Linked DNA regions of Kluyveromyces lactis. Each later gene encodes a partner of the first gene's protein in a complex. Links are inferred from orthologs where the notes say so. Each region holds a gene or a part of one and is shown in the gene's direction. Other genes may lie near its edges.

What was found.
Region 2: the proteins of RAD53 (region 1) and RAD9 are in contact, whole or in part, in an NMR structure (PDB 1K2N), measured with the Saccharomyces cerevisiae proteins. The link is inferred for Kluyveromyces lactis from reciprocal best matches to the Saccharomyces cerevisiae genes RAD53 and RAD9. Residues at the interface, in NP_015172.1 of Saccharomyces cerevisiae: Arg605, Asn616, Arg617, Leu618, Ser619, Arg620, Thr654, Asn655, Ile681, Trp682, Asp683; in NP_010503.1 of Saccharomyces cerevisiae: Val600, Glu601, Leu602, Thr603, Gln604, Glu605, Leu606.
Region 3: the proteins of RAD53 (region 1) and ASF1 are in contact, whole or in part, in a crystal structure (PDB 2YGV), measured with the Saccharomyces cerevisiae proteins. The link is inferred for Kluyveromyces lactis from reciprocal best matches to the Saccharomyces cerevisiae genes RAD53 and ASF1. Residues at the interface, in NP_015172.1 of Saccharomyces cerevisiae: Val803, Lys804, Arg805, Ala806, Lys807, Leu808, Asp809, Gln810, Thr811, Glu816; in NP_012420.1 of Saccharomyces cerevisiae: Phe28, Asp37, Glu39, Asp58, Ser59, Ile60, Leu61, Val62, Gly63, Pro64, Val65, Pro66, Val67, Val69, Asn70, Lys71, Phe72, Val73, Ser75, Asp77.

The regions. Positions count from the first base shown.
Region 1 is NC_006042.1:1,025,739-1,029,868, reverse strand, and holds RAD53 (serine/threonine/tyrosine protein kinase RAD53), read left to right. Parts: upstream 1-1,298; coding exon 1,299-3,740; downstream 3,741-4,130. Other genes in the region: DNA replication protein SLD5, read right to left, coding at 4,013-4,130. UniProt on the Saccharomyces cerevisiae protein: Controls S-phase checkpoint as well as G1 and G2 DNA damage checkpoints. Phosphorylates proteins on serine, threonine, and tyrosine. Prevents entry into anaphase and mitotic exit after DNA damage via regulation of the Polo kinase CDC5.
Region 2 is NC_006042.1:1,205,690-1,209,859, reverse strand, and holds the start of RAD9 (chromatin-binding protein RAD9), read left to right. Parts: upstream 1-1,291; coding exon 1,292-4,170. Other genes in the region: ADY4 (Ady4p), read right to left, coding at 1-463. UniProt on the Saccharomyces cerevisiae protein: Essential for cell cycle arrest at the G2 stage following DNA damage by X-irradiation or inactivation of DNA ligase.
Region 3 is NC_006041.1:1,330,589-1,333,536, reverse strand, and holds ASF1 (nucleosome assembly factor ASF1), read left to right. Parts: upstream 1-1,608; coding exon 1,609-2,442; downstream 2,443-2,948. Other genes in the region: KLLA0_E14917g (uncharacterized protein), read left to right, coding at 68-1,159. UniProt on the Saccharomyces cerevisiae protein: Histone chaperone that facilitates histone deposition and histone exchange and removal during nucleosome assembly and disassembly. Facilitates histone deposition through both replication-dependent and replication-independent chromatin assembly pathways.

The DNA.
Region 1 (4,130 bases):
CAATTGTACTGGTATGCACCATACCTATCAGTTTACATGGTTTTAGGGAAGTAATGATGGGTAGTTAATTTAACAAAAATATTATGTAGAGGAATGCATCTTTCCTATACAATGTCCAATTTATGAACTAGTAGTAAATATAAATAGACTTCAAAATCTGACGCGAAAGACTACTGAGCCCGGCTCTTGTATTTAAAGGGTTTCCTTGGGAAAAACTAACGGATGTAGTAGACTTTTTATCCAGTCCTGATTCTGGGAACAGGTCATTTAATTAGCAGATAGAATGGTAAGAAACTTAACATAACGTTATGGAGGTATGTGAGATTAATAATTTACGATTTTGTTATTTACCGTAACATTACGGTTAAAGTTGACGGTATGATTTGAACCTTCACCAGTAGATCAAAGCTGATATATAATTTTACTACATAGCTATCTCGTTGAAGGACATTATTGCAGTATTAATAAAACGAAAACTTATATATATCATTTCTTCAATCGGTTATGGGGAATTGTCTTAACGAATGTTTTAAACATGAATAGAACCTAGTTTTTTCAAGAAAAGGCTCTAACAGTTCAAATACAATAACGTTATATGAGCAAAATGCAAAGAATTTCTGAAAATTCGGAGTGTTATGCTTGATAGCAACCATATCGATTTATAATCTTTACTTCCATCTATTGATAAGTAAAGATTTTAAAGTCTTTGTAGCATGACTGGAGTTAGAATAAGAAACAGCTGATACAAGTTATTCAACCATGGTATTTACTAATTGATGCCATATGGATTGTTGCAGTATAAACCGGCTTCACATAGTTCTGAAGAAGATTCGGCACCAATCACCTGATGCCGCAATGTGCCATAATAGAACTTCTATCAATGATTCCGTTCTATTTACTCAAATTCCCACTCCAACGTTGTAGCAGTGCCGAGTAAAGACTGATCCATCTTTGATCATTGGCTTTGTATATATGTATGTACTTTTACGCGTCATTGTAATATTTAATGTTCATCGAATATTTACGCGATTTAAAGGTTGACATTTTTCTGAAATAATCTGGATCTTTGAATTGCAAAAGCGATCATACACATTATGAAAGAACGATTTATTCCATTATTCATTAGCTTTGTGTTGGCAGTTTAGTGGGTATACACAGTCACAACCGACTATAGAATAGCACACTTGTGAAAATCGTTCTATATTGAGGCATTAAGTTGTCCCTTTGAGGTTTGCCGTTACCTTTCCCAGCCTCTTTAGAGATCAACTGATCATTGCTGTGCAAACGAAGATATTGACATGGATGATATAACGCAACCGACACAACAAGCCACTCAGGCTACACAGAAGTACCTAATAGATAAGTTTTCTCAGGAGAAAATAGACGACGATGTGGTGTGCAGAGTAATATGTACAACTGGTCAAATAAGTCTACGGGACTTGAAGGTTCAACCTGAAAGTATATTCAAAAAGGAATCATCAATTAAAAAAACATGGACCTTTGGAAGAAACCAAGGATGTGATTATTATCTGGGGGATATTTCAAGACTGTCCAACAGACACTTTATGCTAATGCTGGGTGAAGAAGGAACTTTAATGCTGAAGGATACATCAACCAATGGAACATGGTTAAATGGAGCGAGGATACAAAAGGATACGAATCACATCTTGACCCAAGGGGATGAAATAAGTGTTGGAGTCGGCGTTCCCAGCGATGTCGTTAGTTTAGTGATTTTCATCAACGATAGTTTCAAAAATAGACTAAAAGAACTCAATATGATGAAGGATGTGACTTCACCTGCTTCATCTTCAAAGAGCAAATATCAGATATCAATGGGACATACAGAATTAAAAGGAATACACAAATACTATTCGATATCAGATTCGATTGTTGGTCAAGGTGCTTTCGCTACTGTGAAGAAAGCTGTCGAAAGGTCAACAGGCAAAACATTTGCGGTCAAAATAATTCATAAGAGAAAAGTAATGGATAAATTTGATGGAGTGAAGAGGGAACTAGATGTATTGCAGAAATTAAATCACCCCAGGATAGTTAAACTTAAGGACTTTTTTGAAGACAATGATAATTATTACATGTTGATGGAGTTTGTCAGCGGAGGCGATTTAATGGATTTCGTAGCAGCCCATGGAACTGTAGGCGAGGATGCCGGCAGAGAGATAACACGACAGGTTTTAGAGGCAGTAAAATACATGCATGATCAAGGAATTAGCCATCGAGACTTGAAACCTGATAATATAATGATAGAGCAAGACGATCCAGTTCTTATAAAGATAACCGATTTTGGCCTGGCAAAAGTACAAAATCAGAATACATTCCTGAACACTTTTTGTGGTACTCTAGCATATGTTGCACCTGAAGTTATAGACGGGAAAAATGCTGAAGATAAAACTAATCGAGATCTGTATTCCTCACTTGTTGATATGTGGTCAATTGGATGCCTAGTTTACGTTATTCTTACAGGTCACTTGCCTTTTAGTGGTCAGTCTCAGAATGAATTGTTCAAGCAAATAAAACGGGGCTCTTATCATGAAGGACCATTAAAGGATTATAGAATATCCGAAGAGGCAAGAAACTTCATAGATTGCCTGTTGAATGTGGACCCTAAAGAAAGAATGAACGCAGGAAAGGCCCTGCAACATCCATGGATGAAAATGGCATACGTTGATAGCATGCAGTCACAAATATCCATCTCACAATCCTTGTCCCAGCAACAATTTGTTGACAGTATGAATGAGGCTGAATACGAATCATACATTGCGAAAAAGAGGTTAGAGATTATCAAGAAAGAAATAACGGCGCCTGCTGCAGAAACTAATAAAGAGCCTGTATTCAAAAAACCACAAATTGCACCATCTAAAATTGCACAATCCCAAAACTTGCAGTTTAACTTTTCAAATCCTAATACTGGTAAAGCTATTAATGTTAATTATAAATCTGGTGAAGAAGGACTTTCAAACAATAAGAACAAAAAGATCAATAGACCACTTACAAAGGTCAATGGGGAGGGGCTATTTCTCACTTTGCATTCCTTACCTGGCTCATCTATTTCAGGTAAGGTCCAAGTAAAACAAGGGATAAATCCATTCTTCATCGGTAGGTCAGACGAATGCAACTGTAAAATTGATGATAATCGTTTATCTAGGATACATTGCTTCATATTGAAGAAAAGACACGCTGTCGGTGACAGTATTTATGAATCTCCAGCTCAAGGTCTTGATGATGTATGGTATTGCCAAAGTGGTACTAACTCAAGCTATGTTAATGGAAAGAAAATCACTCCGGGCACAAAGATCTTACTTCATGATGGCGATGAAATCCAAATTATATGGGATAAAATCAATGATGTCACTGTTTCTTTCCAGCTTGAGTTCAATGATACCACTGGTTTGTTCCACGAGGGGAAGCTGGATACCAATGAGAAAACAAACAAGACACTTCTACATAAACAGACACAGGAGGAGTTAGCTTTAGTCCCTAAGTTTATGGAATTTATGAAGTCTAGATCATCACAACATGCCAAATCTAATATAAACCAGTCCTCTTCCAGTAACATAGATGCCAACTCGCAAAATATCGAGGAATTAGATTCTGTCGTTGAGATGAACTCGACTACAGGATTGAAAAGAATACATTCAGTGTCGTTATCTCAATCTCAACCGCAGACAACCAAAAGGGCTAAGCTTGCCCAAGCCCAGAAACCAGATATTGAAGGATTTCTCTGAGCTGATCATATGCTTGCCGGATGGGTTTTGCATACAGTAAATATGAAAAATAGGTACACTTTGAGTATGCTAGATAGACTTTTCAACGTTAATTGATGTAATACTAATACAAATTGGTTCAAAAGCACTATAGACCAGCAGTCAATAACACTAGGTAGAAAACATGCTGTGTTCGCAATAACATTGTTGAGAAATTATTGCTGGCAAACATTCGTTACAAACCTATATTTTTCGAAGAGTCATAGGTTCAGTAATACTGTTCAGAATTTTCATTATATTAAAACTACTCGTCCCTCAGTCATGAGATCTCGTATTACACTATAACGTATTACGTATACTGCCCCGATTAATAAGTAAATTTCTTCATTTAAATCTTCAATAATCACTGAG
Region 2 (4,170 bases), about 180 kb from region 1:
TGTCCTGTTGTGCAGATATTACACTGCTTGAATTTTCCAATATTGTGTATAATATGCCTTTGAACATGTCCAAACGATTCACCCTAACCGAATTGAAGGACACGTATTTTACCCTTTTCCCTTGATTAAAATCTAAATTCAAACATTTTGCCAGATAAAGTGAAGTTTGTCGAATTATCCATGTTATCCGAGACGAGGAAAGGTCTGATCGCTTCTCACTGTGACGCTTATTTTTAGAGACTGAAATGAACTGTAGAATCCAGCGGAAAGAGAAAAAAGCGGTCCCATATTCTTCATCTAGAAGCTCGAAGAATGCTTGAATAATTCTGAAGTTGATGATAATGTTTGTCTTCCATCTAAGAACAAAATGATCATCTGCATATCTAGCACATAGATTATCCGACATATAATTTGCATCCACTGTAAAATCAATATCGGGATTGTGATCAAGAATACCCTGCATTATAGAAATGATACGCTGTTTGCTAATATTACCATTTTGGAATCGTTCTTTCACAAGATTTAAGGGAATGAACGAGAGTATGATATCCACAAAGTCGTCCCATACTTCCGTTGAATCTTTGATTAGTTGCTTGGCTTCAAGCGTCTTGAGACATTTTTCCAATAACGACTCAAAACAAAGTAGAACATCAACATATGAACCTAATAGTAGATGACATTAGAGTTAGTATTTACCATTCAATCGTTATCATTGTTAGCTTTCATTTAATAATGTCACTTACCATTACATTTCGAATTTTTGTCGGTCATGATATCACAGTTATTGTTGCCGACTAAAGGGTGCTAATCACGAGAAGCAAAATTATGCTTGCTTAAGGCGAGGATCATAAAAGCTACACCTCTTGTGTTGGTATATATCGTTTGTGCCAACAACCAAAAAATGCATTCTAAAAGGTTCACTTCATGTGTGTCTGACACCCATCGATAGAAAATATCATACTTTTCCTTAGAAGAACCGAAAATCAATTCCTAGAATAGCAAACCTGCAACCAGTGCTATACTAGCAACTCATATACTAATACCCTGAAGAGATGCGACCGGCTATGGATACATAATAATAAAACTCACACATCGCACAGTTGACTCTTTAATGTCTTAGTCTTTAACAACTACAAATGTAATATTGACAGAAAATCATAAACCAAAACAAGAAAGTTTACAGTATGTAACGCACAACTAACAAAAGTTATTAAACATTCGATAAAAATACGGAGCCAAAATATCACTTCATTCTGAACCATCAATATCAGTATCTGCTGTTTCATATGGTATGACAGGAGACGAAGAAGACAGTGGTATTACCAAAGAGACTCCCAATTACAGTCCAGATCGAAAACAGCTATCGAACAAGATAGAGTCTACTTCCTCAGATGAAATAGTGTTAAAAGAAAATACAAGCACCCGAACGCTCACGGGAATTAACAAGGCTATAAAGGCTTTGGGTAATACTGCTCTCAATTTAAATCCAACGAATAAATCCCTGTTAGAAGACACACCTGAGGGAAATCGAGATCTCGAGATTAGACGAAGAATTGATATCCAATCAAAGACTGATGTATTGCAACGATTTCAGGAGAAAGACTTGAATATCGAAGTGGAATTACCGTTTGATTTGACTCAAACTAAAGGTATTCTTTTGAATAACAATGACACATATCAACCTGAATTATTAGACACGCCATTAAAGAATAAGATATCGATTCGCTCACTTAGGAATGCTAAAGGTGAAGTGAAGGCAGCTTCAGAACCGATCAGCTTGATTGAAAATATCAACTCGTCCCCAGAGGGGCATCCACAACCATTTATAATGACACTGAAGGATGCAGATAATGGTAATATCTTGGGTGATATTGACACTCAAAATGTAACTCAAACATCTAATGAAATGTTAGTACCTGCAACGAATTCAGCTAATGTAAGTCAAACACAAGAAATCAGGTCTACATTGGCCGATGAAAAGATGACTCAGCTAATTAGAACTCAGTCTAATAACCTCGATGTCTCAGAGAGCTTATTGAAACTAGATGAACAGTCTGCACTTCAAGAGACATCAATAGTGCATACATCTCCAATCAATTTTGGCTCATTTCATCACAGTCTTCTTCCTTCTACCAGAACTATATTGACACAAAAGGAAACAGGTTCTAATTTCAACGAAGAAATCCAGTTGGTTCATTCTCCAGCGGTCGTTAATCTCCGACCCATGCAGCAGGCCTCCAATAAATCACCTTCAACAGTATTTAGTGAAGAAGAAAGAGAAGAAGAAAAAGAAGATCAGGAAGTAGCCAAATGTCACTCGTCTATTGAGATGAACAATGAATCTTCTCAGAAGGAACAAACAGATGAAAACTCGAGTGAAATGAAGTTTAAACTCACATATTATGTCAAACCATCCAGTCAGATATCCGACGAGGATGAACAAATTGGGGGTGTCCGGAATGATGCTACCGATTTGAACCAACGTAAACACAATGAACATAATCCTACGAATGATGTCTCAAGAGAGCTCTCGAGACTGGATACAGATCAGGAATATGAACAAACTCAGGAACTACCTGAAATTTTCGAACGCAATGAGTGCAAGCACAAACCGTCATTTGAGTCACAAGAACAACTTAATGTATCCAAGAAACGGAAAAACAAGCAGCTAATATTAGAAGAAGAATTTGAAGATAGTAGTACACCAAGTAAAATGACACAATTTACAGCTTTCACTGAAGGTGTCTACCTGCCGAAAGAACTTCGTATATCAGATGAAATGCAGTTGACTAAAAAAGATGTTTTATTCAATAATGCGGTCTGGTATTATTTTAATGATTGCAATTTTTATCCTGGTAAGATACTTTCCGAACAGCGTACGAAGCCTGGGTATTGCTCCGTTCTTTTCGAGAAACGTCAAAATGATGTTAGGGTGGAAGACATTTACTATTTAGATATTAGATGTGGAGATAAAGTCCACTGGAAGATGAATGAATATCAAGTCGTAGCTTTAGATTGCCAGATCCCACAAAAAGAAGATGTCATTCGATGCATTAGAGGATATGATACGGTGCATTTAAGAAAGGTACTGAGAAACGGAAGACTCAGCAAGAATGATATTGTAGATACCATTGCATCCATATACGTTACCACCGGGGAGTGGATCAAACGAACCAAAATAAAACTGGAAGATGAAGACAATGATCCTTTGGATGAATTGAGACGTTCTGTTAGAAGTCGATCAGTGAGGGATTCTATTTCTCCTATGAAGAAAACCGCTCAAGATTATAACAAGTCAACTTCAGAGATTTTCAGAGACACTTTCTATGATACTACTATAATGAGTGGATTAGAAGGACAGGGAGGTTCTGTTTTCGAAAAGTGCATCTTTGTATTGAGTGGACTTAATGATATGGATAGAAAAAGGTTATCTTATCTAATCGAGATACAAGGAGGATATGTCTCCAGCGTAGGGTTTGAAAGTCTGTTAAGATATGAAGACAGATCAAGAGAGTTTAGTTGGAACAATCCACGTTTTAACAGTTACCGTTTTGGTTGTCTTATTGCGGGAAACTTTTCAAGAAGTCCGAAGTATTTAGAAGCATTGGCTTTGGGATGGCCTGTACTACATTGGAGGTTTATTGAGTCATGCATAAACAAAGGTTATATCTCGACTCAAACGATACTACAAAATCTTTTGCCGAGCGGAGAAAGTAACAGGTTGATGGCTGACTTCAATCTAGGTATTATCAAATCAAGCAATGTTTTTAGTTTCCTGACAAACTTCAATAGCAGTTTGACTTTAGATGCACAACTAAACAATGCCAGAGTAGTTTTGGAAGATTACTCGATATTGATTTTAGGAGACTCCGATATGAATTTTTTCGTGGACTTCATTTTCCAGGTGTTTAAAGTTGGTCATTGGGAATACACGAAAAACTTGAAGTTGAAACCACAGCAAGAGTTGGACGATGATCTGTTCGACCAACTTGTAGAATTTCGGCATAATTACCACAGTAAGAAGATGATACTTTTCATCAACGAGACGTCTTTGCAGAACTCATCCGACTGGGAAAATAGCATTTCTAAAAGGTTCCTGATGGAGGGTATAAATGATTTTAGGATCAAAAATAAGGAATGGCTGGTTCAGACCGTAATTAATGAAGAGGC
Region 3 (2,948 bases), on another chromosome or scaffold:
ATATTATACCATATACCATTTCATCCCCAAGGTATATTGTCTTCTCTTCTCTTCGCCAGGTTACAAGATGCCCCCCGTGGTTCTGCTAGGAGTCGTGGCTGCTATCGTGGCTAATGCCTTACAGGCATTAGGACTCGTTTTCCAACGGAAAGCTGAATGTATTGAAATGTTCCACTACAATAATTCGGAACTTCTTTCCCTTCATTCTGAACTGAAGGTACCACCTAGATCAATCGTTTATAGGAATAAGAGATGGCAATTGGGGTTTTCGCTTTTCCTTTTGGCTAATTTATTCGGTTGTGTCATTCAAATAGCTACTTTGCCCTTGATCGTATTGGCTCCCTTACAGGCATCTGGCCTGGTTTTCAACTCTTTATTTTCCCATATGCTTCTACGAGAACCGTTCCCCCTGATTCCCACTGGTTTTGTTTGTGCTGGTGGTACCATCATGGCTTCAATGTCATGTATGTTCATAAACACTCCTTTGACGCATACGTTTGAAGAGTTGTGCGAATTGGCTCAAAGTGAAAAATTTATTCGTTATTTTGTCGGTACCAACGCTTTAGCTATCATGTCTATTGTGGTGGGTGTTTTCGGTGTCGGGAAACGTGTCAAAGGGTTTTCGCTTGTATTTGCTAGTGGTATATGGTCAGCTCATGCTTTACTCATTGCCAAATGCGTGTCGAACGTTATCGTTACTGAATGGTCCATCTCTTTACATATGGTCTTGCTCGTTTTGGTATTGGTAACTTTCTCGTTGACTCAGTTGTATTTGTTGAACGCAGGGCTTTCTCATCTTTCTACATCGATCCTTTATCCGTTTGTGTTCTCCATCTATAATTTGACTACAATCTTGAACAGTACAATGTTCTATCACGATTCATTGGTACCGCATACAGCCGAGATTTTATACACAGGGCTTGTGTTCGGTTTCATAGTGCTAACCATCGGAGTGGTACGCATTTCTGCATCCATCTACTACTTTGAAGAATCTTTGGTTCACGATTCGAAGTTTCTCTCTGAATTGGATGGCTCTCATTCACCATCATCGTCTACTTCCTCTGCGGCCGTGCTATCGTATGGCTCGCTCAATAATGGAAGACCTTTGTCGCAAGAATTCGTACAAGAATCTAATACTTATACATCGTTGACGGTGTAACAAAAAAAAAAGAAGGGGAAATGGCCGTGCTGCGGCTTCCCCTCTACATTGCATCTTCCTTCACCTTGAACTTCAATTTTACATAAGGTATGTATATTCACTTCTATATCTCTTTTTTTTTTTTTGTTTCATTCAATAAAACTTTTGATCGTATTATTATCGAGCTACTGTTGTTAGAGTGTTATCAACCTACAGCAGCCCTTGTTGATTCAACGTTCTCTCCTACCGGTCTTTTTCTTTGTCTGATTGAAAACTTCACGCGACGCGCTTTCTTTTAAACTTTTCAACTATTCAATATAAAGATAGAAAAAAAGATTATACATCACATCACATAACCTTAACAAAAGCATTGCTCTAAGAACAAGCTTTGTTAATCCAGTGACTACGTATCAAGGCATCGGGAGAGTTACTGTAGGGATCATTATATTAGTTACAGCGGTTTTTCGGTCATGTCTATTGTATCACTTTTAGGAATCAAGGTATTGAACAATCCAGCCAAGTTCACAGACCCTTATGAATTTGAAATCACTTTTGAATGTCTTGAGCCATTAAAACACGATTTGGAATGGAAATTGACGTATGTTGGTTCTTCTAGATCACTTGACCATGATCAAGAATTGGATTCTATCCTGGTGGGTCCTATACCCGTTGGTATCAACAAGTTCAAATTCGTGGCAGATGCACCTTCACCAGATCTGATTCCTGCTAGTGAATTGGTCAGTGTTACTGTGATTTTACTATCGTGCTCTTATAATGGTAAAGAGTTTGTAAGGGTTGGGTACTACGTAAACAACGAATACGATTTGGAAGAATTGAGAGAGAACCCACCTCAGAAAGTGCCTATTGATCATGTGGTGAGAAATATCCTTGCTGAGAAACCAAGAGTTACTAGGTTTAATATCGTTTGGGATAATGAGGGTGAAGAAGAGTTCTATCCTCCGGAACAAGAAGAGCCTGAGGAAGAGGAAGAAGAGGAGGAGGATGAGGATGAGGATGAAGAGGCAGATGAGGACGCTGAAGAAGATCTTGCAGAAGAAGACGATGTAGATGATGGTGAAGGTGAGGAAACTGCTCCTGAAAAGAAGAAACTGAAAAGGGATCCAAAGAAATCTACTGCTTCTGACGTTAAGAACGACGAGGGTGAATCGCAAGCGGAATCTTTGGGACCTGAAGAAGACGAGGAAGACGAGGAAGAAGCGGAAGAGATAGACTTAGAAAAAGAAAGTGATAGTGAGAATGATGCAGATTTGCCTACGCCGCAGGATACTACCCAACACAAATAATAGTAACGGTTTCCACGTCCTGGCCTCCCGCGGCGGCCTCCCAAATTAACGCACTTTTATATACCTTTCATAAGTATCGTTTCAATCCCGTTTGTAACATTGCTGACCAACACAAACCGGTACTCTTCCTCACGTCGATGAAGCGTCCAAAAAATCAAGACTGCATCAACTACTAGCTTGGAGGGAAGGTCTTTATACGCTTCGAATGCAATGTTGTCGTTCAAGACAAAAAAGAAAATGGACGAGTCCGGAGTCGAACCGAAGACCTCTCCCATGCTAAGGGAGCGCGCTACCAACTACGCCACACGCCCGTAATTTCTGAAAAAGTACATTTTTCGTTCCCCATACCGAAAAGAGAAAATCCTACCGTTTTTATCGTCAATCCGGCTGGGAAAACAGTAAACCCTCCAAAAGTAGCAGTTGATAAGGTGGTATCTCTCTAAAATAGCAGTTTCACAGCAGTTCAATCCCTGTATATTTGGACTATGGATGGGTCCTTTAGCCAG